Linked DNA regions of Stegostoma tigrinum. The protein of the gene in region 2 purifies or fractionates together with the protein of the main gene of each other region. This does not show direct contact. Links are inferred from orthologs where the notes say so. Each region holds a gene or a part of one and is shown on either strand. Other genes may lie near its edges. The genes, in order: chtopa, prmt1, SERPINE1 mRNA-binding protein 1-like and protein LSM14 homolog A-like.

Region 1 (7,114 bases), on a different chromosome or scaffold from region 2:
AAGCCAATCTAGCAACTAATACTTGACATTCAATGGCACATCATCACTGAACATTACGTGAGGAACTCACTTCCCATCTTCCTAAAACCAGTCCACCATTTATAAGGCACAAGTCAGGAGTGTGGTGGAACACTTGTCATTTGCCTGGATAAAGGTAACACTCAAGAAACTGACATCATCCAGGGCAAAGCAGCCTGCTTAATTGGCACCACAGCCAGAAACAATCATTGCCTCCACCCCCCAATACTCAGTAGTGCATTGATGCACTAAAGTAAATCACCAAAGATCCTTAGAAAGCATAGTCATACAGAACAGAAACAGACTCTTCGGTCCATCTCATCCACGCTGACCAGGTATCCTAAACTAAAGTAGCCCCATTTGCCTGCATTTGGCCCATAATCTTCTGGAGCATGCCATACTCTTACTGAGGCAGAGATAATAGGAACTGCAGATGCTGAAGAATCTGTGATAACAAGGTGTAGAGCTGGATGAACACAGCAGGCCAAGCAGAATCAGAGGAGCAGGAAGGCTGACGTTTCGGGCCCAAAACATCAGCCTTCCTGCTCGGCCTGCTGTGTTCATCCAGCTCTACACCTTGTTATCTTACTGAGGCCCTTGTGTTGCCCCTTTCAGGGAGTTATGGATTTGCACCCCAAGATCCCTCTGTATATCAATGCTCCCAAGGATCTTGCCATTTACTGTATACTGTCGTCTTGCATTTGACCTCTCAGAATGTATCAATTCATTTGACCAGGTTCAAATCCATCTGCCATCACTCCACTCAACTTTTCAACTGACCTATATTGTGCTGTGATAACAAGGTATAGAGCTGGATGAACACAGCAGGCCAAGCAGCAGAGGAGCAGGAATGCTGACTTTTGGGCTGAGAACCTTCTTCAGAAATGCTGTATCGTTTGACAACGTTCCTTACTTTTCACAACTCAACTAATTTTCATGTTGTCTACAAGCTTAGCAATCAGACCACCTACATGTCCACCCAGATCATTTACAAATATTACAAATAACAGATATGATCCTCGTATAACATAACTGGTTTCAAACCCACAACTGCTTCCATGTGGAATGACAAGGGCAGCAGACACATGGGAGCACCACGAGCAAGTTCACCCACCATGCTGATATGGAAATATATTCCCATTCCTTCAGTGATACTGGGTCAAAATCCTTAACCACATTGAAAGCCTACCTACAGCAATTCAAGAAATCTGTTCGCCCTTAACTCATAAGGTGATATGAGAGTTAGGTAAGACTAGAAGACAAGTAGGTCATTCAGTCCAGAGTTCTGTTCTACCATTCAATGAAATCACGGCTGATCTGTTAATCCACAACTCCACTTTTCTGCTTTCTTCACCCACAAACTCTCTATTCCCTTACCAATTAAAAATCTGTCAACCTCAATCTCAAATATGCTTAATGATCCAGCCTCAATAGCCTTTGTGGGGAGGAATTCCACAGATTCACAATTCTCAAGAAATTCCCCTTCATTTCTCTCTTAAATGGTATGATCTCAGAATAAGGGATCACACATTTGGTCAAGAGGAGACAACCTTTCCACATCTATCCTAATAAGGTCACATTGGGGCTAGTCTACTCAACTTCTTCTCATAACAAAGTGCTTCAGACCTCACATCAGTCTAGTGAACTTCTCTGGATGGCCTCAATTGCTTAGATAAGTTTTGAAAAATGTTTTGAAAAAGAGTCACTGAGCCGGAAGCGTTAACTCTGATTTCACTCTACAGATGCTGCCAGACCTGCTGAGGTTTTCCTGTAATTTCTGGTTTTGTTTCTGATTTACAACATCCACAGTTCTTCAGTTTTTAAGACCTGTATTAACATGGTGTTTAGCACACAAATAGATCTATGCTGCGCCTACAACGGTTATTCATTTGTTTTTGAGGTGGCGGATCTATGGAATTCGGTCACGGGGAGTGCATCGGATGCCAGGTCACTGAGTACTTTAAGGAGAAGGCAGAAAGATTTTTAACTGGAAACCGAAAGAACTGCAGATGCTGCGAATCAGGAACAAAAACAGAAGTTGCCGGAAAAGCTCAGCAGGTCTGGCACAATCCGTGGAGAGAAAAAATAAGCTGTTAATGTTTCGGTTCCGGGGACCCTTCCTCAGAACTGTATTACTCAGAATAAGTAATAGGATAATGCGTTATGAAGCAAAGGAGAAATTCAACCATGACTGTATTGAACGGTGGAGGGGTCTCGCTAGACTTAAATTGCCATCCTCCAATGTTCTAAGTTAAATTTTTTTGAGATTCATTCACAAGGATTCCCTGCACTCAGCCCTGTGTTTTATCTTCCTGCAGCCTTGCACTATTTAACACGATCAGCTCCTCGGTGCTTCCTGTCAGAGTGCCGATATTACAACAGACAACATCTAGCGCACTTCCGCAAGGAGCAGTTAGAGAGGCCAATAAACACAGGCCCAGCCAGCAAGTCCACCCCCATCCCCCGAACCCTCGATACGGGCCTGGAATTGAGGGCGGCTTTCACCAGGCGGAGTCCACCGCTACAGGCCGAAGCACCCTGAGCATCGTCAGCCAGGGACGAAAGACCCACAGGAGAGATGAGTTACAGCAGGCGGCCTTAGCCCCTTACCTGGTACTGGCAGAGCCGAGCCATACTGCCGCTGGCGGAGCTGAACAGCAGAATCCATGCGGCCAAGACAGAAATCAGTGCCAGTCCTGGGCAAGAGGGGGGATCACGTGGGAGGCAGCGGCGGCGAACAGACTCGGTCACGTGGGGGACGTGATGCCGTGTTTGGTCACGTGGGATGGCGGGCTGGCTCTCGCTGATGAAGGGTTCGTCTCGCTCCGATTATGTTAGAGGCGGTGGGAAGCTGGATGAACACAGCAGGCAAGCTGATGTCTCGGCCCGAAACGTCAGCCTTCCTGCTCCTCTGATGCTGCTTGGCCTGTTGTGTTCATCCAGCTCTACACCTTGTTACCTCGGATTCTCCAGCATCGGCAGTTCCTACTGGTTCTAATGTTAGACACAGCGCCGAGGGAGCGGGCGCTGTCGGCGGGGGGTCAGCGCCGAGGGAGCGGGCGCTGTCGGGGAGGGGAGGGGAGGGGAGGGGTCAGCGCTGAGGGCGCCCATTGCTCAGTACTGATCCTCTGACTACGCTGCGCCGCCTCAGTCTGCCACTTCTGACAGAACACCACTGGCTCAGGCACTGCACTCTGAAAGCTTTTAGATCACGCTTTAGGGCAATAACCTGGTGATATTTACAACAAATGCTACCAGTCCACTCAGGAATGAAGGATAGTCAATCTAAACATTGCCCAGTCTTACTCCTGGTAGTTCCTTATGCCTGGCTGTACACTGTAAAACCATAACAGTAGTTTTACACCGTTAAGACATCCGTCGAGTCTGCTCCACCATTCAATCATGGCTGATATGTAACTCAACCCTATTCTCCTGCCCTTTCATCATAACCCTTGTTCCCATTACTAACAAGAGTCCAGCTATCTCTGTATTAAACATAATCAAAGACCTGGATTTGGATTATATATTTAACATTTTTCCCTGTATCTTTTTGTTCAATTAGGATACAGCAAGGTATTGAAGAAACTAACAAGGAGAAACTGGAGCAGTTTCCTCCTCCAGGATGTCCACAGTTTGGTTCTGTTTGTGTTTTCTGCCTTTCTGGACAATCCTTCCAGTCTCAGGTGAGGAATTGTAATGTAAGTGGAGCTGAGAGTTATGTTTCACAGATTAGTGCAGGCACTGAGTCTTGTTCAGCAACCAGATTGGAAACAGTCTGCAAGAAACAGGTTGTTTCTTTTAAACTAGCCTGCTCAGCTGCTCCTGTAGACTGGTGTAGGTCCAACTCACTTTGGGTTAGGGTTAGTTTCACTGGGATGTTAGTTCACAATGCCAAATCCATCTTGGCATCAAAAATTGCATTAAATACTGAGGATTGAAACCTGTGGACTTGTTGCATCTGACCTGATCTAATAGGAATGCAGAATTTCTCAGCAGTACAGGACCTGAAAATGGCCATAACCTATATGAACAGATTTTCAGAAATTGTCATTATATCTTCTGCTCTGGGCTGGCAGATCCTGCACGTTACATGATCTTGTGCTCATTTCCCAGTCTGCACACGCCTGAACCTGTTCCTAGCAGTCAGATAAACCATATGGGATAGCTTTTCATCCAGGAGATCAGACATCATTGGGAGATGCTGAGGAGTCTTGAAAGGGTGTTTGTGGAGAGGATGTTTCCTATTCCAAAGAATCTAGGACGATGGGAGAAGAGACAATTTTTTTTTCTCAGAGTATTGAGAGTTATTAAAGTTCTCCCTCAAAAGGTGTTGAATATTTTTGAGGCAGATGTCAATAGATTCCTGTCGAGCAAATGTGAAAATTTATCATGATTGGTGGGAATGTGGAGTAATCAGATCAGACAATAGGTAATAGGTGCAGGAGTAGGCCATTCTGCCCTATGATCGTGGATGATCATCCACAATCAATATCCTGTTCCTGCCTTATCCCCATAATCCTTGATTCCACTATCTTTAAGAGCTCTATCCATCTCTTTCTTGAAAGTATCCAGAGAGTTGGCCTCCACTGCCTTCTGGGGCAGAGCATTCCATATATCCACCACTCTCTGGGTGAAGAAGTTTTTCCTCAACTCTGTTCTAAATGGCCTACCCCTTATTTTTAAACTGTGTCCTCTGGTTCTGGACTCACCCATCAGCGGAAACATGCTTCCTGCCTCCAGAGTGTCCAATCCCTTAATAATCTTATACACCTCAAACAGATCCCCTCTCATCCTTCTAAACTCAAGAGTATACGAGGCCAGTCACTCCAATCTTTCAACGTATGATAGTCCCACCATTCCGGGAATTGGCCTCGTGAACCTACGCTGCACTCCCTCAAATAGCAAGACTGTCCTTCCTCAAATTTGGAGACCGAAACTGCACACAATGCTCCAGGTGTGGTCTCACCAGGGCCCTGTACAGCTGCCGAAGGACCTCTTTGCCCCTGTACTCAATTCCTCTTGTTATGAAGGCCAGCATGCTATTAGCTTTCTTCACTGCCTGCTGTACCTGCTTGCTTGCTTTCATTGACTGATGTACAAGAACACCTAGATCTCGTGTTTCCCCTTTACCTAACTTGACTCCATTGAGATAGTAATCTGCCTTCCTGTTCTTGCCACCAAAGTGTATAGCCACACATTTATCCACATTAAAGTGCATCTCCCATGCATCCGTCCACTCACCTAGCCTGTCCAAGTCACTTGCATCTGCGTGAATAGTGGATTGGGCTTGTTGGTCTACTCCTGTTTGTAGTTCATTTTTTTTCAAGGATACTCCCTATTGGATCACTGTCACATTTTCCTGTTTTCTACAAGTTTCAACCCAAGGCTCTAAGTGAGGTTTTGAAATATACCCGTTGTCAATTATAATTGTAAAATCTGTTAAATCTCATCTGATAAATTACTATTTGAATCATGTACCAAAGTGTCACCAGTGCCTGGAACATTACCTCAGTGAAAGTTAGCACCTTCAAAGTGTAAGAAGGGATGAAAATGGGTCAGAGTATTGTTCTGGAGATAGCAGGAACTGCAGATGCTGGAGAATCTGAGATAACAAGGTATAGAGCTCGACGAACACAGCAGGCTAAACAGCATCAGAGGAGCAGGAAGGGTCTTGGCCCGAAACGTCAGCCATCCTGCTCCTCTGATGCTGTTTAGCCTGCTGTGTTCGTCCAGTTCCCCACACAGCATTGTTTTAACAGTTAATAAAATGTGAGGCTGGATGAACACAAGCAGCATCTCAGGAGCACAAATCTGCAGTTCCCATTATCTCTGAAAATCCAGCCTCACATTTTATTATCTTGGAATTCTCCAGCATCTGCAGTTCCCATTATCTCTGATAAGCTTTTGTGCTCCTGAGATGCTGCTTGGCCTGCTGTGTTATCCAGCCTCACATTTTATTATCTTGGAATTCTCCAGCATCTGCAGTTCCCATTATCTCTGATATTGTTTTAACAGTTTTTGCTTCTCTTTTCAGCTGGTAAACCATGTGATGCCAGGAGTTTTGGGGGTAGCTCGGTGGTTTGTATTTGCAATGCGACATACTGCGATACAGTTGATCCACTGCGGTTGCCAAAGAAAGGCCATTATGTTTTGTATGAAACCACTAAAGCTGGTAAGCGGCTTGAACACAAAACAGGAAAAATCCTCACAAACACCAAACAACAAGGTAAGGTTTGCAGTTGCTGCTTATCATGTGTTGCGAAGTTGGGTGGAGTACTTGAGGATTAGCAGGCATGAAGTTAGAATTTGGTATTTGTAAAATGCTAGAGGGAAAAGCATGGAGTGGTCCCTTTAAAAGATCATGTGCTTTTCCTATGCTTAGTACTTTAAAAGGAATGTCTGTGAGCAGCAGCTCAAAAGTTTGCAAGTACATAGACAGCTCCCAACATGAAACATTTGTATTGAAAAGCTACACAGTTAGCAGGCCAAGCAGCAGTTTATCAAGACAACAAGATTTTTAATTTAGCCAATCAATTTGAACCTGGGACTTGGAGACCAAAAACAGCTACCTAGAATACACCTCCTCCCACCCACCCTCCTGCAAAAATTCCATCCCTATTTCCAATTCCTTCGCCACATCTGCTCCCACGATAAGGCATTTCACTCCCGCACATCCCAGATGTCCAAGTTCTTCAAGGACCGCAGTGGTCGAGAACGCCCTTGACCGCGTCTCCCGCAACACATCCCTCACACCCCGCCCCCGCCACAACCGCCCAAAGAGGATCCCCCTCGTTTTCACACACCACCCCACCAACCTCCGGATACAACGCATCATCCTCCGACACTTCCGCCATCTACAATCCGACCCCACCACCCAAGACATTTATCCATCCCCACCCTTGTCTGCTTTCCGGAGAGACCACTCTCTCCGTGACTCCCTTGTTCGCTCCACGTTGCCCTCAAACCCCACCACACCCGGCACCTTCCCCTGCAACCGCAGGAAATGCTACACTTGCCCCCACACCTCCTCCCTCACCCCTATCCCAGGCCCCAAGATGACTTTCCATATTAAGCAGAGGCTCACCTGCACATCTAC
Region 2 (7,382 bases):
CCTTGTGGCACACCACTGGTCAACAGCTTCTAGTCCTCCACCACCAACCTCTGTCTTCTACTTTCAAACCAGTTCTGTATCCAAATGGATAGTTCTCCCTGTAGTGTTCTAGCCTTTGTTAACCAGTCTACCATGAGGGACCTTGTCAAACACCTTCACGAAGTTTGTATAGAACATGTTCACCACTCTGCCTGCAAATCCTCTTTGTTACTTCTTCAAAACAAAAACTGAACCAAGTTAGTGAGACACATTTGCCCATGCACACTTGATGGGAAAACTTCAAAAGCTCCCAACTCCAAAGAAAAATCCAAATGACGTACAGACCAAACAGAAATGTTAAATAACCGATTTCACCCAAAACAGGGGAGGAAAAATTTCCAGTCTGAGGTAGGAGCTGTTGGAATGAGAGATATAAATATATAAAATCAAGAAGCAATCAATGGAACTTTCGTCATTCACAGCTCCTAGCTTTAGCCCGCACTTATCTAGTGCCTTCACAAAAACACAGTAGAAGCCAAGGGAGGACACAAGACACATACTCGAGAAGTGTGTGTGGAAGGAGACGATTTCAGAACACAGGACACAGCTACCTGACATTGCACTGTCAGCTGTGTCTGGTCAAGGGTCAGCAATGCACAAGAGTGAAAGAACATGAGTGCAAACAATAGTGAACAATAATGGACAGGGTTACAGATAAAAGCTCAGGGGTAAGGTTTTCACACAGAGGTTGGTGTGCATATGGAAAGTACTGCCAGAGGAAGTGTTGGAGACTGGTGCAATTACAAAATCTAAAAGACATCTGGATAGGTAGATAATAGAAATACGGGCCAAATATTGGCAAACAGGACTAGATCAGATTGGGACGTCTGGGCAGCACAGATGAGAGGATGAAAGGGTCTGTTTCCCTGCTGTATGGCTCAATAAGGAGGATGAAGACATGAAAAAACCCCAAAAATCAGAATGAGAATGCTTGAAGATTTGGTGATGTAAAATTAATGAGGACAGGAAACAGCACCTAACTGGATGTAGGAAGAGGTGATTCAGTGAACAAAGTGGTAGATGACAGATGTAAAACGTCTACCCCACTACTCAGATGCTCCCCTTATAAATCAGACTTTCTTTTAAAAAATAATTTAACAAATTAACAGCACCTAAAGATCTAAACTGAGCTACGGTCAGAAACAATCCCTAAAATTAATAGTGACTGGTGCATTCCTTCAGGATTACCTCATTAAAACAGGCACTGAAAGAAATAGAAGATAGCAAGAACTGTTGATACTGGAGTCAGAGATAACAGTGTGGAGCTGAAGGAACAGGACAGTTGATGTTTCGGGTCACGAAGAAGGGTCCCAAAAGTTGACGTTTACTACCACTCTCACCCCACTAAAAACAAAAACTTTCATTGCCCGTACACCCCTCTAAGTTTCCTGCTCCTCTGATGCTGCCTGGCCTGCTGCATTCCTCTCGTTCCACACTATTATCACTGAAACTAATATTAAAGGTTTAGAGGGATTTGGACCAAACACAGGCAAATGGGACTAGCTGAGTTTGGACAGAACATTCTGTTTCCATGTTGTATGGCTCCATAAAACTGCACCTTTTGTAACACATTAACTATACATTCAAATTGGTGAGATTAATACAAATTCAGGATACAGCATTAAGCATCTGTAAATTTTAGAGAAAATTATGAACATGTATTAACTTCATATTAAAATCATGATTAATACAAATTCAGGAAATTGTATTAAGCCTGTATAAACTTTACCACAGAACTCATGAGCACGCATTAGCCACATATCAAAATCAGTGAGACTGACAGATTTTCAATTCAGCATTAACAGCCTTTGTAAACTTTACAAGAAAAATCACAAGAAACTCGAGGTTACTGTGTCAACCAAACCTCAGGCACAATTCTGACAGGGAGGATGAGGCTAAACATGGATTTGGATAGAAGGTCTGGTAAGTCAACTTATAAACACAGACACAGTTTTTAAGAAACCTTAAAAGTCCCAGCTCCACAAACCAAAAGTGGACCCAACATGACAGAACTTAGAGGAGATAAAAATCGACACATTACCTAAGGCCAGAGCGTCCAAAGACAACTGAGGCCAGTAGCCCCTCTCAAGCAGCGGGGGAGGGAAAGTGGGGTGTTGGGGGGCGGGGGTGGTAAAGAGAACTTTTGGCTCAAGTGAAAAGAAGTCCAGAAAAAAAATTACGCTTTGCTAAGCAAGACAATTATGCACAGTTGGCTCCAAGCTATAGATGGGAGATTCAGACTGAGAACCGTCATGAGGGCAAACAAAGGGACATTCCCCACCCCCTCAACCAGCTATCTCATTTGCCCTGAAACAGAAAGGTAAGCTGGACTGCTTTCAATTAGAAACGTGGATAGAGAGAGAGAGAGAGAGAGAGAGAGAGAGATGGATAGAGAGAGAGAGAGACACAGAGAGAGAGAGAGAGAGAGAAAGAAAAAGAAAGAGAAAGAGGAAGCAGGTGGAAGGAGTGAAAATTGTGAAACACTGAAGGGATAATGGAGCTGGTGAGTGTGTTTGAGGGTTGGGGGGGGGGGGGGTTCTTCTATACCTACAATGACTAGCAGAGCTGGGTGGGGAATGAAGTCTTTTTGGGGGGGGGGGGGGGGGAAGAACGATAATAAAGTTCACCCACCCCCACAAAGGAGGGAGGGGGTGGGGGGGGGGGGGGGGGACAGTAATGCACCTCCCTCTCCCGCCAAGGGGCCTATCCTCTGGCTAACAAACCCCACCCCAGGGCGGGGGCCAATAACTCGAGGCCTCGTTTCACAGCACCCTCCCCCTCCCCGGGAACATTTCCCCCCCCCCACCACACGGACAATTAATTAAATTTGAGGCGCCCCCCTCCTCACCAATCACACCATGTTTATTAATTAACTGATCAAAACCACCGCGTCGGGCTTTTATTGCGAAGCCAACCTGGACCTCCACACTCGTCTTCGACCCCGCGGTCCTCAAAGCCGCCCTCCAGCACCTACCTCCATGCACTCGGCCATCTTGTGAAAGAAGGGCCGTCATCTTCGTCATCGCTTTTATACACGACGCCTTGGTTTCCCCGCCCCTCCACCTGTCGTTCATTGGCTCGGTCTTTAACCCCGGCCCCACCTCTACATCTTCTATTGGTCAGGCTGACCGCTCATCGGAACCACCGCTTGCGGCTCCCAACACCCATTGGTTCTTTCAAAAGTCCGTCACATCGAGCCGTCTCTCCTTCCCATTGGGCGGCGCGTCTGATAGGCGGGACCAGGCTCCAACGGCCTCCTTCCATTGCATACATCACATGCCTATCAGTCTGTGGAGGCGGACCATCGCCCGGAGTCGGCCCTCCTCTGACTTCCGATTGGCCAATACGCTCCATCAGGAAATACTGAAGGTTACAGCCGCACACACGTGGAGTCAGTCATTTAGTTCGGAGCATCCTCTCGCTTGGAGGCTAATCTAAATACATATACCATAGGTTACTAGGACAAGTTTACTCTAAATCCCACAACCTGGAAGGATAAACCCCTAAACATTAGGTATACATCTGTCCTTTAGATGCACACTACATACAGTGCTCACTGCCGTTTACACATCTGAAATATTCGACCTTTTGGAACTTTCAGAACATAAAACTTAGAGGATTTGGAGGAGGTCACGCAACCCCTCAAGTTGGCTGCACAAATGGTCAGATTTGATAATGACAGTGATGGTACAGTGGTAGTCCACCTATCCCCAAAAGGGAGGCCAGAATTGATGTCCCACCTGCTCCAGAGTGCATAGAGTCATACAGGGTTCCAGCACAGAAAAAGAACCTTCCGCCCATTGAGTGATGGTCAAAATCAACCGTCTCGCTATTCTAATCCCATTTTAATGGGGATCTTGTGGCAAAGTACTATTGCTTTGACCTCTGAATGAAAAAGCCTGGGTTCAAGTCCCACCTGCTCAAGAGGTAGAGTTACAGATTTGTACAGCACAGAAACAGACCTTTTGGCCCAACTCGTCCATGCTGATCAAATCTCCTAAATTAAATCTACCCCAATTTACCAGCATTTGGCCTAGATCCTTCTGAACTCTTTCTGTTCATAAACCCATATAGCTGTCTTTTAAATGTTATAATTGCACCAGCTTCTATCATTTCCTCTGGCAGCTCATTCCATACATGCACCATGTGTAATAATCTCTCTGAACAGACTGATTAGAAAATAAAAACCCACAAGAAATCATGAACAAAAACAGAAATTGCTAGAAAATCTTAGCAGGTCTGGCAGCATCTGTGGAAAAAAAAATCAGAGTTAACGTTTTGGGTCTTGTGGCCCTTTGTTTTTGGATCCTTACAAGAGAAGTCCAAGAAAAGTGCAGACAGCAGCCATTTCTATACACAGCCTTCTCTGAATTCACAAAAGCTTCTAACTCCGTCAACTAGGTGGGATTGTGTAACATCCTCTTAAAGTCATTTATCATCCTCCATTTGCTGTAAACTGTGAAACAGAACATAGAATGCTAGAGAATCTCAGCAGGTCTGGCAGCATCTGGGGAGAGAGAAACACAGTTAACATTTCAAGTTCAGTAAAATCTCTTTGGCAGAACATGCAAATTATAGTTCTCACCAATGAATGTGCTACAAACCCAATTTTGTGTAAACTCAGGCCAAGCAAAGTTTTGAATTATAGCAACATTATTCTCCATCTTCCCTGCTCAAATAATTCAGAAGACCTTTAAAGATGTAGGAGCACAATTAGGTCACTCAGCCCATCAGGTCTGGTCCACCATTTGTTCACGGCTGATGTGTTTGTCAGCACCATTTTCCTGCCAGCTCATCGTAACCTCCAAACCTATGCATTACTGTCTTTTATACAGTCAACGACTGGCCTCAACACCCGTCTGTGACAATGAGTTTTACAGATTGACCATCCTCTGGCTGCAGATACTCCTCCTCATCTCAGTTCTAAAGGGTATTCCCTCCACTCCACATCCATGAAGGTTCCAGCCAGAGTGCGGCTTCTTTACACGAGCAGGAAACTGTCCACCCTGCGTAGTCCCCAGCCCAGAAACAACGCCACCCCCAACCTCTAGCATTGAGCTACCACCTGCAGATAATGTCTGCACGTCTGCATATTCAGAGGCTGAGCTGCTAACCATACATTAATGGAGGCGGTAAAGTAGGGATTAGACTAAACATTGGAAAGCAAAGGAATCTATTAACGTGCTCCTGCTGTACAACATAAAAACCAAAAGGATTGCAGATTCTGTAATTCAGGAATAAAAACAGAAGTTGCTGGAAAAGCTCAGCAGGTCTGGCAGCAGAGTTCTGAGGAAGGGTCACTGCACAAGAAATGTTGGACTCTGATTTGTTTTCGCGGATGCTGCCAGATTGCTGAGCTTTTCCAGCAACTTCTGTTTTGCTTTCTGGCATGCAACACTTGCCTGACCATCACAGATCAATGGCAAATCACTACACAGTTTAGATTATATCACATAACTTGGCTCTCTCTTTTCAATGAAGGAGACAATGAAATTCTCCACGATGCCAGTTATGTCTTCCATGGGACAACAGTGGCTACCCTTAAAAATTACACTGTTAGCTCTAAGACATTATAGGGTATCCTGAAGTTGAGATCAAGGCAATATGGAAACAGAAGCTCATCATTTCTTAACCACTGAAGTTCCATTTTAATGAGCAGGAACTCCAGCTAGCCTTCATAAAAACAATGTCAGTCACTGACACCTAAAGAAGGTGCGAGACTCCGAAAGCTTGTCTCTTCAAACAAACCTGTTAGACTATAACTTGTCGACTTTCACAAAAATAGGAAGGTGAATGAGACAGCAATCTAACCATGAAATCATCACTCACCTTCTGCACATCCAGTCATCAGCGACCATAATTTGACCAAGGGATTTGAATTAAATGCTGGAGGAATGCCTCCTCTTGGTTGCAAACATCCTTGATGATCCATTTAACTACTAATTTTAAGCTCTGGAATAAGCCAAATTATAACCAATACTTCTAATTAACTAAGTGACTCAAGACATTTCACAAACGCATTACCAGACGTTTACAGTGGTTAATACTGCTTCCTCACAGCGCAAGAGACCCGGGTTTGATTCCAGCTTCGGGCAACTGTCTGTATGGGGCTTGCACATTCTCCCTGTGTCTGCATGGGTTTCCTTTGGGTGTTCTGGTTTCCTCCCACAGTCCAAAGATCTGGAGGTTAGAGCGGACTTGCCATGCTAAATTGCCCATCGTGCCCAGGGATGTGCTAGCTAAGTGGGTTAGCCATGTAAGAGTACATGGATAGGGTGGGGGGTGGGGGGGGGGGTGGGTGGGGGGTGGGGGGGGGGGGGGGTTAAAGTCTGGGTGGGATGCTCTCCTGAAGGTCAGTGTGGACTCGATGGGCCAAGTGGTTTGCTTCTGTACTGCAGGGATTCTGTGATTCTATTTAAACCAAAAACAGATGAAGCTGGTAGGCCCCGTAAACCCCTGCAAGGTCTTGGAGAATGATCGAGAGAAAGGATGTTTAGTGAAGGAATTTAAGAGCTTAGGGTCCATGCAGCAGAACATATGGTTGCACGTTCCATTGTTGCAAAGGGAGACAAAAGTTGAAACAGTACATGTTATTAAACTGGAAAGGGGACAAAAAAGATTTAAGGATATTACTGAGACTGGAAAATTTGAATTATAGGGAAGAGGCTGGGACTGTTTTCCCTAGAACATGGGAGGCTGAGTGGTGACTTTATTGAGGTTTAAAAAAAAAGAGGGGCATAGGTAAGATGAATAGCCAAGGTCTTTTCCTCAGCATTGGGTATCTAAAACGCGAGGGCATAGGTTTAAGGTGAAAGGAGAAAGATTTAAAAAGGGACCGGAGGGGCAACTTTTTCACACAGAGGGTGGTGCATATATCGAATAAGCTGCCAGAGGAAGTGGTAGAGGCTGTACAATTACAACATTTTAAAGGCATTTGGGCAGATAAATGAATAGGAAAGGTCTAGAGGGACATGGGCCAAATGCAGGCAAATGGGACTGGGTCAGTTTAGGAAACCTGGTCGGCATGGAGGAGTTGGGCCGAAGGGTCTGTGTACCTCTATGACAAAATCAGAATCAGACATCCATGCTGAGGAAAAACAATAAGTGTCTCATCACACCTCATTAGAAAGACATTTATTTGTAAAACATCTGTACAGAGGATGTTAAAAGATCCTTACAAATTAGAGTTGAGCTTCAAACAATTTAGTTCATACAAACTACACCCAGCAAGAATATGAAACATGTCTAAACACATCATATCTTAAACATATTATCAATAATCTGACTGAATGGTCTTTTTCAGTATTGTAATCATTCTAAATGCATACTTATTAGTTGCTGGA
Region 3 (7,843 bases), on a different chromosome or scaffold from region 2:
CTCACCCATCCCTTCCTCCCACCCCAAGCCGCACCCCCAGCTACCTACTAACCTCATCCCACCTCCTTGACCTGTCCGTCTTCCCTGGACTGACCTATCCCCTCCCTACCTCCCCACCTATACTCTCTCCACCTATCTTCTTTACTCTCCATCTTCGGTCCGCCTCCCCCTCTCTCCCTATTTATTCCAGTTCCCTCTCCCCATCCCCCTCTCTGATGAAGGGTCTAGGCCCGAAACGTCAGCTTTTGTGCTCCTGAGATGCTGCTTGGCCTGCTGTGTTCATCCAGCCTCACATTTTATTATCTTGGAATTCTCCAGCATCTGCAGTTCCCATTATCCCAGTCTATCCAACCTTTCTTCAGAGCTAAATTCCCGCATACAAGGCGATATACTGGTAAACCTTTTCTGAACACTCTCCAAAGCATCCACATCCTTCCAATAGCATAGTGACCAGAACTGTACTCAATATTTAATGTAGCTTAACTGAAGTTCTATAAAACTGCAGGGTAACTTGTCCATTCTTGTACCCAATGCTCCTTCCAAAGAAGGCAAGCGTGTCATAGGAGATAACAAGGTGTAGAGCTGGATGAACACAGCAGGCCAAGCAGCATCAGAGGAGCAGGAAGACTGACGTTTCAGGCCTAGACCTTTCTTCAGAAAAGCATGTCATAAGCATTTTTTTAACTACCTTATCTACGTGTGCCGCCACCTTCAGTGATCTGTGGACTTGCATACTCAGATTTCTCGGTGTATCATTATTCCTTCGAGTTCCATCATTCACTGTATAATTTCCACCTGTACTTGACTTTGTAAAAGGCATCACCTCACATCTATCTGGATTAAACTCCATCTGCCATTTTTCTGCCCATGCCTCAACTGATGTATATCCTGCTGTATTCTCTGAAAATCCTCCTCATTATGTACAACTCCACCAATCTTTTTTAACAAAGTGTGAAGCTGGATGAACACAGCAGGCCAAGCAGCATCTCAGGAGCACAAAAGCTGATGTTTCGGGCCCAGACCCTTCATCAGGGATGCCTCCACCAATCTTTGCATTGTCTGTAAACCTCCAAATCATTTGTGTAGATCACAAACAGCAGAGGTACCAACACTGATCGCTGTGGAACACCACTAGTCACAGCTCTCCATTCAAAACAGCATCCTTCCATGGCTACCCTACCTGTGTTTCCTATGATTAAACCAGTTCTGTATCCATCTTGCCAGCTCACCCCTGATACCATGTGACTTCACCTTTTATACCAGTCTGCCATGAGGGACCTTGCCAAGGCTTTACTGAAGTCCATGTAGACAACATCAACTGCTTTTCCCTTGTCAATCATCTTAGTCGCCTCCTCAAAAAAACTTGATCAAGTTTGTGAGGCACGTTTGCCCCTGCATAAAACCATGCTGTTGATTTGCTAATAAGTCAATTTGCTTCTAAATGCATATAGGTCTTGTCCCTGGGGAACGTTTCTAACAATCTCCCTATCGCTGATGTGAAAGTCACAGGCCCGTAATTTCCTGGTTTATCCTGGTTACCCTTTTTAAGCAATGGGTCAACATTAGCTATAATCCAGTCCTCTGGGACCTCACTTGTGGTCAGAGAGGATACAGAGATGTCTGTCAATGAATGGTTTGCTCTAACAATATGGGGTTGGGGAGAGACAGGCATTTTCTTTAAAATATACGCAAATAGTTTACTGTCACTGGACCAAATTCCGTACAGTGTCCAAAAAAGGATAGGTGTTATATTTCTTAAACTAAAATTGATTGAATGCTCCTGATTGCAGGAACAAAGAGTGCGAGAGGGATTAAAATTTACAAACTAAGGAACCTGGACTTGACCCGCGTCCAATACTGCCACTTCCAGTGCTAAACCATAAGAAATGGGAACAGGAATTTGCCCCTTGAGCCTGCTCTGCCATTCAACAGGGTCATGTCTGATCTCACAGATTAACTATTCTCTCAAAGAGTTGGCTCATTATTTAAATAATTTAATCAGGCTGCCTGCCTCAAATTCTAAAACCTTTTTTTGTCTAATGGCATGGACTGAGTTTCCAGGGCTTAGGAAAACCAAAGAGAGGTGAGAAGGCTACAGCTGGCAAGTCTTTCCAGCACTGTTTGTGTGCCAGGAGGAGTAGGAGTGCTGAGTTTTCCTTAAGCAAACTGTCTCAATCCATGATAATAAAATGTGAGGCTGGATGAACACAGCAGGCCAAGCAGCATCTCAGGAGCACAAAAGCTGACGTTTCGGGCCTAGACCCTTCATCAGAGAGGGGGATGGGGAGAGGGAACTGGAATAAATAGGGAGAGAGGGGGAGGCGGACCGAAGATGGAGAGTAAAGAAGATAGATCTTCTTTACTCTCCATCTTCGGTCCGCCTCCCCCTCTCTCCCTATTTATTCCAGTTCCCTCTCCCCATCCCCCTCTCTGATGAAGGGTCTAGGCCCGAAACGTCAGCTTTTGTGCTCCTGAGATGCTGCTTGGCCTGCTGTGTTCACCCAGCCTCACATTTTATTATCTTGGAATTCTCCAGCATCTGCAGTTCCCATTATCTCTGTCTCAATCCATGCTCTGATCTGTGCCCAACTCAAACCACCCCTGTCAAAACCGCCCCCCCCCACCCAACCCCACACCTCCACAACCACCCCCCCCCCCCCCCCCCCGCTACGCGCACACACACACTCTTTCTGTTCCTGCTCCTTGGTTCTGGCCTAGTGGTACAGGCTTTCCTGCCAAATAGCTTCTCAACCTAAGTAATGACTAGCTATGATATAAGAAGGAAGTTTCAAATTTCTTACTATAACTTCAGCAGGACCTTTATGTTGTCCACATTCACTGGCTTCCAATCTGCCAACACTCCCACCTGTCCACTCCCTCTCTATACCTTCATAATTATTGGAGCGTTAGACTCAGAAACTTCAAACAAAGTTATCATATTTGCTCAAGATACTAGACTGGGAAGGGCAGTTGATGTAGAGGCAGCGATTTGAAAATTAATGTTATGCCATGAGGGACCTTGCCAAGGCTTTACTGATGTTCATGTAGACAACATCAACTGCACAAAATAAGTATGAGCGATAACACAGACCAAAATAAAATCCATTTGTACAGTGGTTTTCATGAATTCAGGGCAGCTTTACAGCTAATGAAGAGATCTTAATGTATAATCAATGTTGTATTGTACAAAACACAAGAGAGAACAAGTTCCAAAAGACAGCATATGTGGTAATGGTTTATTTATGATGTTGATTGAGGGAGAGGTATTAGATAAGAATCTTTGGAGTTCTTGTGGTGCAGTGGTCTTCAACTCATGTGGTAGCCTCCCCGCTTCCGATCCATAGTCCTCTAATTTCAAGTCTCGCTCCAGGACTAGTTGGCTATGGAAGAACCCAGCCTTTGATGGCTGACAAGTCAATGTGTAACGTAATTAACAAGGATAAGTGGCAGGAAAAATATTGAGCTCTAAAGCCACACACCAAATTCAGAAATGATGGTTTATAACAAATGGAGAAGGATGATCCACAATGATGATCTTTTGTAATGTGAACAAAACTGAAAGAAACAGTGATTGGAGGATAAATATTAAGCAGGCAATCGAGGGTAGCAATCCTGTTCTACAAAATAATGGGATCTTTTATGTCCATTTGAAAGAGGTAGTCAGGGCCTCAGTTTAGTCACTGATCTGTAAAATGATGCCTCTGACAATGCAACAATCTCAGTACCACACTGGATTGTCAGCAAGAATTTTAGTCCTTAGAACTGAACCCACAACATTCTGATTCTGAGCCAGTGAATGACAGATAAAATTTAATGCAAGTGCAAAGTGGTGCAGATATGATAGAATAATAAGGACACATATGCCCCATGACAGGTGTTTAATTAACTAAGGATATAGAACATAATCTAATTTTGTGAATTTATATCTTTACTAGACCGAAGAGAAGATCCATATCCTCGGAGATTACTGTCACTCTTTGCAATTACTGCTTCCTCCATAGGTTTTCAAGCATCTGAAGTGTTGGACTGAATTCTACCTAAAGATTATTGAGCAACGCTTTGAGCAATGGAATAATGACTGAAATCGTCCATATTACATGTAGGTAATAGAATTGTAGAATGGTTCATCCTTTGTCAGCTCTCCGAAAGTGATCAGCTATTCCCAAACCCCCTCCGTTTTCCTCTGGATCTGCAAATATGCTCTGTTTAGCTAATATTAGACCTCTTTGGAAGGCGTAATTAAATCTGTTTCCATCACCCTCTCAGGCTGTATATTCCTATCCCAACTACTTGTGCTGAAAAAGCTTTTCCTCACATCCTTTGCCAGTCACCACAAACGGTGTCCTCTGGGTCTCCACCTTTCCACAAATAGACATACATGTTGAATATTGAAATAAAAACATCTGGATATGCTTGCAGTTTTCTACACAAATCTAATGATAGGTTGTCAATCTAAACCGTTTTCTCATTGCTAACCATTAACAACATTTTGTGTTTTTATTTCTGATTTCCACCATCCACAATATTTTGATATGAAGAATTTTTGGATGCAGACTGCAAAAGCTGCCTGAGTCTACCCATTCGGAATAAGCTTCTCTGACACCATGTCTCACATGGGTTGGCACAACAGTGAGCAGGCGGTGCACATTGGGAAATGTGGTCTGCTCCTTGCGGGCGCGGGTGTCTGCGATCAAACGGAAGGCCAGGAAAAAGACTACATTCCCCAGCAGGCAGCCGAGGTTGCGCGGCTAGTGCCCGGATGGCGCGGCCCAAGATGCAACGCGAGCAAGAAGACCGTCTCTAACCGGCCATTTTGAGGCTAATTGAAGCGGTTTCTGCAGCCTTGCAGCATCCAAGGAGAATCCGCACTTGAGGGGCCCCATCATGCCCGGGAACTTACAGGAAGGCTTCGGCTGCGTCGTAACCAATCGGTTCGACCAACTATTTGGCGATGAATCTGACCCGTTCGAGATTTTAAAAGAGGCTGAAATCAAGAAAGACAAGAAGGAGAAAGACAACAAGACGGCCGCATCTAAACAGCAGCCCAAAAAGGAATCTCAGAAGGACAGGAAGGTGCCCGTAACATCCAGCGATGCGAAACCAGAGTCCCAAGCTCCCGTGACCTCGAGAAAAGAAGGTATTGGATCCTCTGCGGGAATGTTCTTATTACATTCATTATTCGCAGGAGTTGGTATTCGGAAGAAGAGCGTGTTGCAGTTGTTCTAGTTTTATAGAGTCGCTCATGGCAAATGCCAGGTTTAGGAAGCATGAGGGACTGACTGCTTCCTAAAAGACTCCCGGGCTTTTTATCTCCAGCCTAGGCATCTCCCGTCGGGCTGGGCCTTTGCCTGTGTGGGGGTGGTTGTGCTGGTGGGATTGTCCCTGCAAATCCGCGTGCTGTGGCTTCACTCTCGAAATGAGAATGGGGAGAGGTTTGCAATCGAACAAACTGACACCCATAGTCCCTTCTCGCGTTGTGTTATTTTAATGGATGAAGGATAGTTCATTCACTGTTTGAGGGCCATTTAATACAGAGCGTTCAGTTTATTTTGTCACTCCGGTGGCATGGAGCAGGTTTGAAAGGTTGGGGGGAGGGGGCGGTGACTTTATAACAGTACTTGTACCTTCGTCCGAACTTCATGTTTCTCGCAGACCTAAATCGACTTTTAACACTTACTTGTTGTCTCAGATTTTTTTTGGTTTTAATGCAGTGGTTTGTTGGAATACATCTCTTTTAAGTGAATAATTTAAGCATAGCGAGTGTACTTGAAATCTGTATGACAAGTTTGTGGATGAAAGCTACTTGTGGTTTGTAAACCAGTTTAAGAAACCCACGTGCTGGGTCAGAAGGATTCGTCCATTCTTTTTAGGCTAAAGGGTGTTGCCCCAAATCTTGCACGTGTTGATGTACTGTTCTTCGTTTCAAAATATAACTTTTTTTTAACAATATAAGCGTCCGTGTAATCGCTTTTATCTTGTACTGGCAGTATTTCCTGCTTGAGATTCGAAGGTGTTGTGCCTTGCTATCTGCTGCAATTTTCTTTAATTCAGTAAAGGATCCTGACCTGAAATGCTGACTTTCCTATTTCTCTGCTGCCTGACCTGCTGTGTTCCTCCAGCTCCACTCTGCGTTGACTGACTCCAGCATCAGCAGTTCTTGCTATCTCTAATTCAGTTTACCATTTTCAACTCAGTTGTAGCAGGATGTATATTCTATCAGACTTAATTTGTTCTGCAATATTATTTGATATAAGTGTTTTGAAGTCTGGCCTGTTAGCAGTAAGCAATCTCTTTGCAGTGTAATGTACAGTATAATTTTGTTAAATGTGTGTTGGATTGTTGAGATTTCACTTATATAACTGCAAACACCATGCATTCAGAGTGTTCTTGCAGAACAGTTGTAGTTTTCCACCCTCTGGACTAGAAGGTCTGGATTGAAGCATCACCTGTCTCAGACATGTGTCTTAATGTGTTTGAGCAGGTTGGTTAAAATAGCTACAGCACGTGTTAAACACTGATTGATACATCTTACTTTTGTTGGGGCCACTTTGGGGTTTGTAGAATAGGTGTAAAATATCATGGTGCTCCAGCTACATAGTTTTAAAGATAAATCAGTTCTTGATTTTGAAATAAACCAGAACTACCTTTTTAGACATAATTTTGAGAATCAATAATCTTTTGTAAAATAACATTAGAAAATTCTTTTTTTTTTGCAGAAATTTTTTTTCTATATACACAATGAGAAAGTTATTTATAAAATACAAGTAGACAGGTATGAGTGAATACTCCATTCCCTCAAGGTCCCTTTACTAAAATCCAAGGCTTTATTTGATTAGACGTACAGAGGAGCTCCTCATATGTACTGTTGTTTACTTCAAATTAGGTTACATATCTTGTTATTCATGAATTAACTTTTTAGGCTTTATGATTTGCTTAAAATGGGATTTGGAATATTTTTCCACTGGCAAATTTAACACTAGATGTGCAAAGATGTTCATCATTAAATATTAGTTTTGTCCCGTTGTAAATACAGAAATTTCTTTGCACATCTTTTAGTTTCACCTCTGACTGCATGTCTGTTTGGTGCATCCATCTCTTGTGCCTTCAGAAAGTAAAACCAGAAAAAATGATATCACGTGAGGTGTATCCCTTGCTGCAGTTGGCCCTTGGAATCCAGGCATTTCCATTTCAATTTGGTGAGCCTGAAAGTTTTGACGTTTGGTGCTTAACACTTAATTCATTAGTGTCTAAATCCTCTTTCTAAACATGTGTGAACCTTGATAGAGGTGCAGATTTGAAAGTTGACTTTAAATAATTAAATGTGCCCTCAAAGTCTCATGCTTGAGATCAAAGAAAAAGAGATGGTAGATGCAAGCCTCTTAAACAGTGGATCTCAAAGTTAATTGAATTTTCATTTCAATTTGTAATATGTACTAGTTTTCTATTCAAGGACTTGCTGTAAGAGTTTTTTTAGTACCACTCGTGCTTCACAGCAATTAAATATTTTTGAAGAGAGAGATAATAGGAATTGCAGATGCTGGAGAATCTGAGAATACAAGGTGTAGAACTGGATGAACACAGCAGGCCAGGCAGCATCAGGGGAGCAGGAAGGCTGATGTTTTGGGCCTAGAAGAAGGGTCGAGGCCCACAATGTCAGCCTTCCTGCTCCTCTGATGCTGCTTGGCCAGCTGTGTTCATCCAGCTCTATACCTTGTTATCTCTCTTTATTGAAGTGAATTTTTTTTAAGGCAAAATCATACATTAAGCCATAAGTGACCAATTGACCTGTTTTGCCTGCAGTGTGGAAGGAATAAAATTTTCTTTGAATAGAGGCACTGGATCT
Region 4 (7,341 bases), on a different chromosome or scaffold from region 2:
ATGCTGTTTGGCCTGCTGTGTTCATCCAGCTTCACACTTTGTTATCCCAGCTCATCCCTGCCTCCCTAACCTGTTCTTCCTCTCACCCATACCTTCCTCCCACCTCACGCCGCACCTCCATTTCCTCCCTACTAACCTCATCCCACCCCCTTGACCTGTCCGTCTTCCCCGGGCTGACCTATCCCCTTCCTACCTCCCCACCTACACTCACCTTCACTGGCTCCATCCCTACCCCTTTAACTCGTCTGTTTCCTCTCCACCTATCTTCTCCTCTATCTGTCCTTGATCCACCTCCCCCTCTGTCCCTATTTATTTCAGAACCTTCTCCCCATCTCCCTTTTCTGATGAAGGGCCTAGGCCCAAAACCTCAGCTTTTGTGCTCCTAAGATGCTGCTTGGCCTGCAGTGTTCATCCAGCCCCACACTTTGTTAACACAAATTGTTTCATTTGTGTAAGCTGTTGTAATGATTATGTTGACACTCATTTACATTCTTCTCCCTTCACAATGAAAAATCACAATCAAAACAATTCCCCTCATTCATCTTCTAGTTAGTAATGACATTTAGTTCAGAGACACATAAGTTGTGAAGCTGTGAGATTGTTTTCATCATTGTAATAGTGGTGAATTCACTAGCTTGCATTGCCTTGAGTATAGAAGATTAACGGGTGATCAACTGGGCTGTTCAGAATTTTAAATGCATTTGATAGGATGGGCAACACTTCCTCTGATGGAGGAGTCCAAAAGAATGATGTATATCAATATAGCACTGACTCTTTGAAACAAAATCTAGACCCTTCATCAGAAATGAGGGAAGGGAAAGGAGTTCTGAAATAAATAGGGAGAGAGATGGAGGTCAATAGAAGATGGATAGAGGAGAAGGTAGGTGGAGAGGAGACGGATAAGTCAAAGAGGCGGGGATGGAACCAGTAAAGGTGAGTGTAGGTGGGGAGGTAGGGAGGGAATAGGTCAGTCCAGGGTAGACAGACAGGTGAGGTTAGTAGGTAGGAAATGAGGGTGCGACCTGAGGTGGGAGGAGGGGATAGTTGGAAAAACAGGTTAGGGAGGCAGGGACGAGCTGGGCTGGTTTTGGGATGCGGTAGTGGGAGGGGACATTTTGAAGCTTGTGAAATCGGGTCTAGTCTGGAAACGTCAGCTTTCCTGCTCCTAAGATGCTGGTTGGCCTGCTGTGTTCATCCAGCTCTACACTTTGTTATCTTTTAAAAACAAGGTTGTACTTCTCTTAATGTTGTCAAGGAACATGGAGTATGACAGGTAGACTTTCTCCTTCATCACTTGCTATAGGCTTTGTGTAGCAACAGCATCGGTTCTGGTTTGGCCATCTCAATCAGTAAGGGGGCTGCCAAGTTATTCCTGAAATCCATCTTTATTGATCTCAATACCAGAGGAAAAGTTGGACCAGCTGGGCTCAGACCTGCTGTAGTATGCAAGAGTAAGAGGTGACTTGAATGAATCATTTTTGATCCTGAGGAAGCTTGACAGGATGAATGTTCCAGAATGTTTTATCTTGTGGGAGAGTTTAGAACTAGGGGATCACCACTTAAAAACTATTAAACAACATTTTTCTTCAGAGTGAGCTCTAAGTTTTGGAATTCACTTCCTCAAAAGGCCATGGAAGCAAAATCTTTGTGTATGTGTAAGGTAGAAGTGGATAGCTTCCAGGAAGCAAGAGAGGTGAAAGGTAATTCTGGGCTACAATCACATCATCCACCATACATTTAAATAGCACAGCAGGCTCCAGGTATTAAATGGCCGACTGTATTTTTATATTCACATCTCCATCAGGAGTACTTTATGTCATAGAGTCACAGAGGTCTACAATACAGAAAAATATACTTCAGCTCATTGTGTCTGCATAAGTCAAAAACAACCACCTAACAATTCTAATCCCATTTTCCAGCACTTGGCCCATAGGTTTGGATACCTTGGCATCACAAATGCTCATCTAAATGCTTCTTCAGTGTTATGAGGATTTCTGCCTCTACCATCCTTGCAGGCAGTGAGCTGAAAATGTTTTTTCCTCACATCTCCCCTAAACCTGCTGTCCCCGGTCATTGATCTCTCCAACAAAGGGAGAAATTGCTTCCCGTCTACCCTATCTATACCCACATAATTTGACACATGTCAACTATGGGATTTCAAGACAAGAGGGCATATTTTAAAGGTGAGAGGAAAGAGATTTTAAAAAAGACGTAAGAGGCAATTTTTTTACACAGAGGGTGGTTCACGCGGGGAATGAGCTTCCTGAAGAAGTGGTGGACATGGGCACAGTTACAACGTTTAAAAAACACTTAGCTAAGTACTTGAACAGGAAAGGTTTGGAGAGATATGGGCCAGGAGCAGACAAGTGGGACTAGTTTAGTATGAGATTATGTTCAGCATCGATTCATTGGATCAAAGGGTCTGTTTCTGTGCTGTATCGCTCTATGTCTATGACTGTCAATCTCTTCTCCATCTCCTTTGCTCCAGTCTGTCCAATTTGTCTTCAAAGTTGAAACTCTCAAGCCCAGATAACATCCTGGTAAATCTCCTCTGCACCCACTCTAGTGCTATCATTCCCTCCCAAAATGTGGAATCCAGAACAGCAGTATTCTAGCTGTGGCCTAACCAACATGTTTCACAGTTCCAGCATAAGCTCCCTTCTCTATGCTTCAACTAATAAACATGAATATACCAGATACCTTCTTCACCATAAAGACATACAGCATAGAAACAGACCCTTTGGCCTACTGTACTCAATGTTCCCTTGGCCTACTATGTCTATGCTACCAACAAACACTAATTTTGTGGTCCTGAGTAATTCCATTTACCTGGACTTAGCCCATGGCCTATCATGCCCAACACTTAAGTACTCATCCAGATGATTCTTAAATGTTGTGAGAGTATTTGTCTCCATCACCCTCTCAGGCAGCACATTCCATATTTCTACCATTCTCTGGGCATAAAAATTCTTCCTCAGATCTCCTCTCAACTACTTGCTCCTCACATTAAACTTATGCCCTCTGGTCTTAGACACATCTGTCATGTGGAAGAGATTCTTTGATCTGTTCTGTCTATGTTTCTCATAATCTTTTATACCTCAGTCCCAGCCCACCCACCCCCCCCAACTTCCTCTGCTCCAAGGAAGACAAACCCAGCCTATTCAGTCTCTCCTCATAACTGAGACTTTTCATCCTAGGCAACATCCTGGTGAATCTCCTCTGCACCTTCTCCATTGGCACATTGTAAAATTCTTTCCATTCTTCTGATTTTTTCCCCTTTGTTTTAATCTTATACAATTCTGAACCTCCTTTGTTAGCTGTAGTTGACTGATCATTTTTGAGGTTTGGCACATTGAAGGAATATACAGTTGCTGCAAGACATGTAATCATTCCTTAAAGACTATCCATTGTCTATGGACAGTCATGTCTTTTAATGTATTTTCCCATTCCTCCACCATCAATTTGTGCCTAACTTTATTTTCCTGTTAAAATTGAATACCCTTGCTTCAAATGAAACTTCCCCACTTTTAAACATAAAGCAAAATTCAATCTTATTGTTGTCACTCAATCCTAAATAAATATTTTCGAACAACATTGAACTAGTTATGACTTTAAGTTACAATAGATCAGGCCTAAACTAACTTTTTTTGTATGTGTAGGCATATTGTTGTCTGGCCTGGTGTAGCATGATCTTCCTTGCTATTTATGCTCAGTGATGCCCAGATCCATTATATCATCGTAACATTGCTCCAGGGTCTTTAAACCCCTAAATCACAAACGATTTCAAAATGTAGCTTGCAAATCCAGAGGTTGTTATTATTTTGTTATTATTTAGATAGAAATGCAAATATTATGTGTGTACTTCAAAATTTTTGGTAAATGCCAGCTAGGTTTAGAAATAAAACTAAATCGTGGAGCAGTTCCCAGCTCTCACTTCAGATTTCTTCAATGATTTGAGAAGTTAACTTTTCCAGCAATGTTTTTGAGTTAGTTTTGGAGAGTTACGAGGTGCAAGCTTCCGAGAGAGAGATGCTTGTTCGCATCTTTTAAGATTTCGTCCTGCAGAGAGTGAGACTGGTGTTGTGCAAAGAGAGGGAAAGAAACAGAAGGAAAGTACTGGCTGAGTGGGGGAAGGGCCTGGCCACTGGAATATGAAGGCAGCCATGTTGGCTGCTGCCTGAGCGAACGTCACGGACCGGGGGGGTAGGGAGGTGGATAGAGAGAAAGAATAGGCCGGAGCGGGACGGTAGAGGCAATCCGCATTCATCCGCTGCCTCAGCTCCCGCAAATAGTGGTAGGCACTGCACAGCTACCATCATGAGTGGGGGTACTCCTTACATCGGCAGTAAAATCAGCCTGATCTCCAAGGCAGAGATCCGATATGAGGGGATTTTGTACACCATCGACACCGAGAACTCCACCGTCGCTTTAGCCAAAGGTAAATGGCGTAGAGGCGCCGGGCCTAAGAATACGACCCCATCCCTTGTGAATAACTCTTGTCTATAATAATCCCTCACATTTCGACATTCTTATCGCTAAAGAAACACAATTTGTTATTTAAACGTCGGGCAGTTTATCCCTTGTTTTAAAAAAAACTAAAATGGCGGGATTTGTCAACAAGAGCTTCTGTTCTCTTAAGTGTGTTTAATTGTATTTCAATCTGAGCTTTAATTTGGATGTTTTCTTACTTTCTTTGGGGAGGGGGTGGGGAATGTGAATTTTATCAATATATTCTAATTGGATGTGGTAAAGAAAGTGGGGAGTGGTCGGTGGTTATAAAGACAACCTGCTACCCACATCATAAACAAAAATAACTAAGACATTTCGTTTTAATATTTCTTTGTATGACTCACTGCTTTTAAATTGAATGGCTGCTAAATCAATCCGATTTGTTCGTCAAATCAGATAACACTGTTGCTCCTTGCAGTTCGTTATCCAGAGGAGTCTCCGCTTTTGTGGTTTTCATCCTCAATTTAGTGTTTATAATGTTTATATTGCAGTGTCTTCCAAGCAAATTGTTATATAGAAAATTCGCTGATAACTTTTAAAATGTTAGCTGCAGTAACTTTCATTTGTCTAGTGATAATGAAGCAATATTCTGATTGCTATTTAGATTATCTCTGGACTACTTCGAAGTTCCAAATCTTTAACGTACGTAAGAATTTCATGGTTGAGGTTATTTTTGTCTAGTTATTGGCAAGTAACGTGTTATCCAATTACCCCTTTTGTTGGAAGTAAACCCCAAAATAATAATTAGATTTTAATGAATTTGTGAAGATGTTGAATTGACTTGAGAAGGTAATTTTCTGAGCAAGTGTTTTAGCTTGAGGTATGATAATAGTGCACTCCAAAAAGCACTGATTTGTCTGGTTACTTGGGTTAAATGGGCATCTGTCTTTCTGTTGAAAAGATTTAGTTGGATAGTTTTCCAATAGACTGGAAAATCTAAAACACTTCAATTTGGAACAACCTAACGTGATTTTTGTGTTTGTGTTGTTTACAATGATTTTGTATAATGTGTATTCTTCAATAAGGCTTTACTTTGACTACCTATCGTTGGGTCTTTTAAGAGTTGGAAATTGGTGACTCCTGAGGAATTTATCGATGTGTTGTGGTGCCCACTACAAATAATTAGTCTAGAATAATTTTGTAAGTTTATAAATGTAGGAAAGAAGAGATTCTGTTTGTGGCAACCTCTGTTCAAACAATTTAACAAGTTTCTTTTTCTTTTGTTCATTCCTTGTAGCCCTGCAGATTTTGCCTCTCTAGATGTCCATCTAATTTCTTTTTAAAGCTATTAAGGAATCTGCTCTTTTCCATCTTTTCTGGCATTGCATTCCAAATCAAACCCACTTGCTGAATACAAAAAAAACTTGGCACTTTTTGGCCTTTTGTAATCTCCTTAAATTTGTTTCCCCCCAGTTCTTAACCACCTTGAACATGGGAACAATTTCTTTCTGCACTGAGTTTGTGTTGTGACGTGGACCAATTCAATCACATCTCCTCTGAATCGTTACTTTTCAAAAAGAAGAACTGCCCCAGTTTCACCCATCTAAGCTTGTGACTGGTCCCTGGAGTGAGAAGCTTTGGAGATCTGCCTCATTCGTTCCTAAATCAGGTGCTCAGAAAGAAAACATTTAATCTAGCTCCTCTGGTAAATTGTGTATGATCAGTTGAACAAAATGACCTTGCTTCGGTACACTGTACGATTCTGTTTTCTGGTGTCTGTAAGCAAAACCCAAAATTGTCCAGGATTAGAGTTGATACATGGGAATTCTTTCTGCTGACTGAAATGACTGGAGGCCAGAAGTCCCGAAAGGATGTGGGAAAAGGCAGAAGATAAAATAAATGACTAGCAGAAAAGACCACCAGCCGGAAGGAGGAAAAAGTTACATCTGTGAATCCCACGCTAACATTATTCCTCTGTGCTGGCTGCAGAAGGCATTGCTGCTTGGAAGTTGACCTCTTGCGACAACAGGTGATGTTCACACCAATGACATAAGACCTGAGTACAGTCTGCTGTGTTTCAAAATGCATGGGTGCCATTAATGTCTTTTCCATGTGTTTTCTAACTCTTTCTCAATGATATAAATGGATTTATAGTACAGAAATAATCTATTCTGGCCAGTTTTTGAATGCCACAGAAGTTTAGAAAGTTTGAGGATAGTACCATGAAAGGTACCACAGAACCTCTACAGTGAAAGCTGGACATTTGGCCCATCAAGTTCATGTGACCCTCTGAAGAGGGTCCCACTCAAACTCAAACCCAAACCCAACCCCCGACTCTGTTCCTGTAACCATACACTTCCCATGGCAAATCCACCTAGCCTGCTCATCCCTGAACACTACGGACAATTTAGCATGGCCGTTCCACCTAACCGCCTCAGCTTTGGACTCGGGGTGGGGTGGGTAGGAAACTGGAACGTGTCTGGAGGAAATCCATGTGGACGTGGAGAGAATGTGCAAACTCCACACAGACAGTAGCCCGAGGGATGGAATTGAACCTGGGTCACTGTTGCTGTGAGGCCACAGTGCTAACTGCTGCAGCACCCATTTTCTTCCACTTTACGTCATCCTGCCCCAATGTCATATCTTTAAATTATTTCCTCCCTTGCACTTGCCCATTTTCCCAGAAGTGTGTATTAAAGAAGCCTGTACCTGTCTTGGAGGTGAAGGGCAGAGATTCACGAAAGTTTTTTTTAAATTCATTTGTGGGATCTGTGCATTACTGACTGGCCAGCATTTGTTGCCCTTGAGGGTGGTGGTGAGTTACCTTCTTGAACTACCATAGTCCACTGTTGTGGGTTGACCCACAATGACACGAGGGTGGGAATTCCAGGA

What was found.
Region 1: the proteins of prmt1 (region 2) and chtopa purify together in Homo sapiens (affinity purification with western blotting; 7 studies listed by BioGRID and IntAct, with this or other methods). This does not show direct contact. The link is inferred for Stegostoma tigrinum from reciprocal best matches to the Homo sapiens genes PRMT1 and CHTOP.
Region 3: the proteins of prmt1 (region 2) and SERPINE1 mRNA-binding protein 1-like purify together in Homo sapiens (affinity purification with mass spectrometry; 3 studies listed by BioGRID and IntAct, with this or other methods). This does not show direct contact. The link is inferred for Stegostoma tigrinum from reciprocal best matches to the Homo sapiens genes PRMT1 and SERBP1.
Region 4: the proteins of prmt1 (region 2) and protein LSM14 homolog A-like purify together in Homo sapiens (affinity purification with mass spectrometry; 3 studies listed by BioGRID and IntAct, with this or other methods). This does not show direct contact. The link is inferred for Stegostoma tigrinum from reciprocal best matches to the Homo sapiens genes PRMT1 and LSM14A.

The regions. Positions count from the first base shown.
Region 1 is NC_081400.1:101,318-108,431, reverse strand, and holds the start of chtopa (chromatin target of PRMT1a), read right to left. Parts: upstream 3,051-7,114; 5' UTR 2,687-3,050; coding exon 2,629-2,686; intron 1-2,628. Other genes in the region: gba1 (lysosomal acid glucosylceramidase), read left to right, coding at 3,641-3,701, 6,053-6,244. UniProt on the Homo sapiens protein: Plays an important role in the ligand-dependent activation of estrogen receptor target genes. May play a role in the silencing of fetal globin genes.
Region 2 is NC_081391.1:22,304,018-22,311,399, forward strand, and holds the start of prmt1 (protein arginine N-methyltransferase 1), read right to left. Parts: upstream 3,059-7,382; 5' UTR 3,032-3,058; coding exon 3,014-3,031; exon of another isoform or gene 2,955-3,013; intron 1-2,954. UniProt on the Homo sapiens protein: Arginine methyltransferase that methylates (mono and asymmetric dimethylation) the guanidino nitrogens of arginyl residues present in proteins such as ESR1, histone H2, H3 and H4, FMR1, ILF3, HNRNPA1, HNRNPD, NFATC2IP, SUPT5H, TAF15, EWS, HABP4, SERBP1, RBM15, FOXO1, CHTOP, MAP3K5/ASK1, MICU1 and NPRL2.
Region 3 is NC_081361.1:51,678,679-51,686,521, reverse strand, and holds the start of SERPINE1 mRNA-binding protein 1-like, read left to right. Parts: upstream 1-4,775; 5' UTR 4,776-4,884; coding exon 4,885-5,137; intron 5,138-7,843. UniProt on the Homo sapiens protein: Ribosome-binding protein that promotes ribosome hibernation, a process during which ribosomes are stabilized in an inactive state and preserved from proteasomal degradation.
Region 4 is NC_081369.1:64,935,353-64,942,693, reverse strand, and holds the start of protein LSM14 homolog A-like, read left to right. Parts: upstream 1-4,182; 5' UTR 4,183-4,317; coding exon 4,318-4,438; intron 4,439-7,341. UniProt on the Homo sapiens protein: Essential for formation of P-bodies, cytoplasmic structures that provide storage sites for translationally inactive mRNAs and protect them from degradation. Acts as a repressor of mRNA translation. May play a role in mitotic spindle assembly.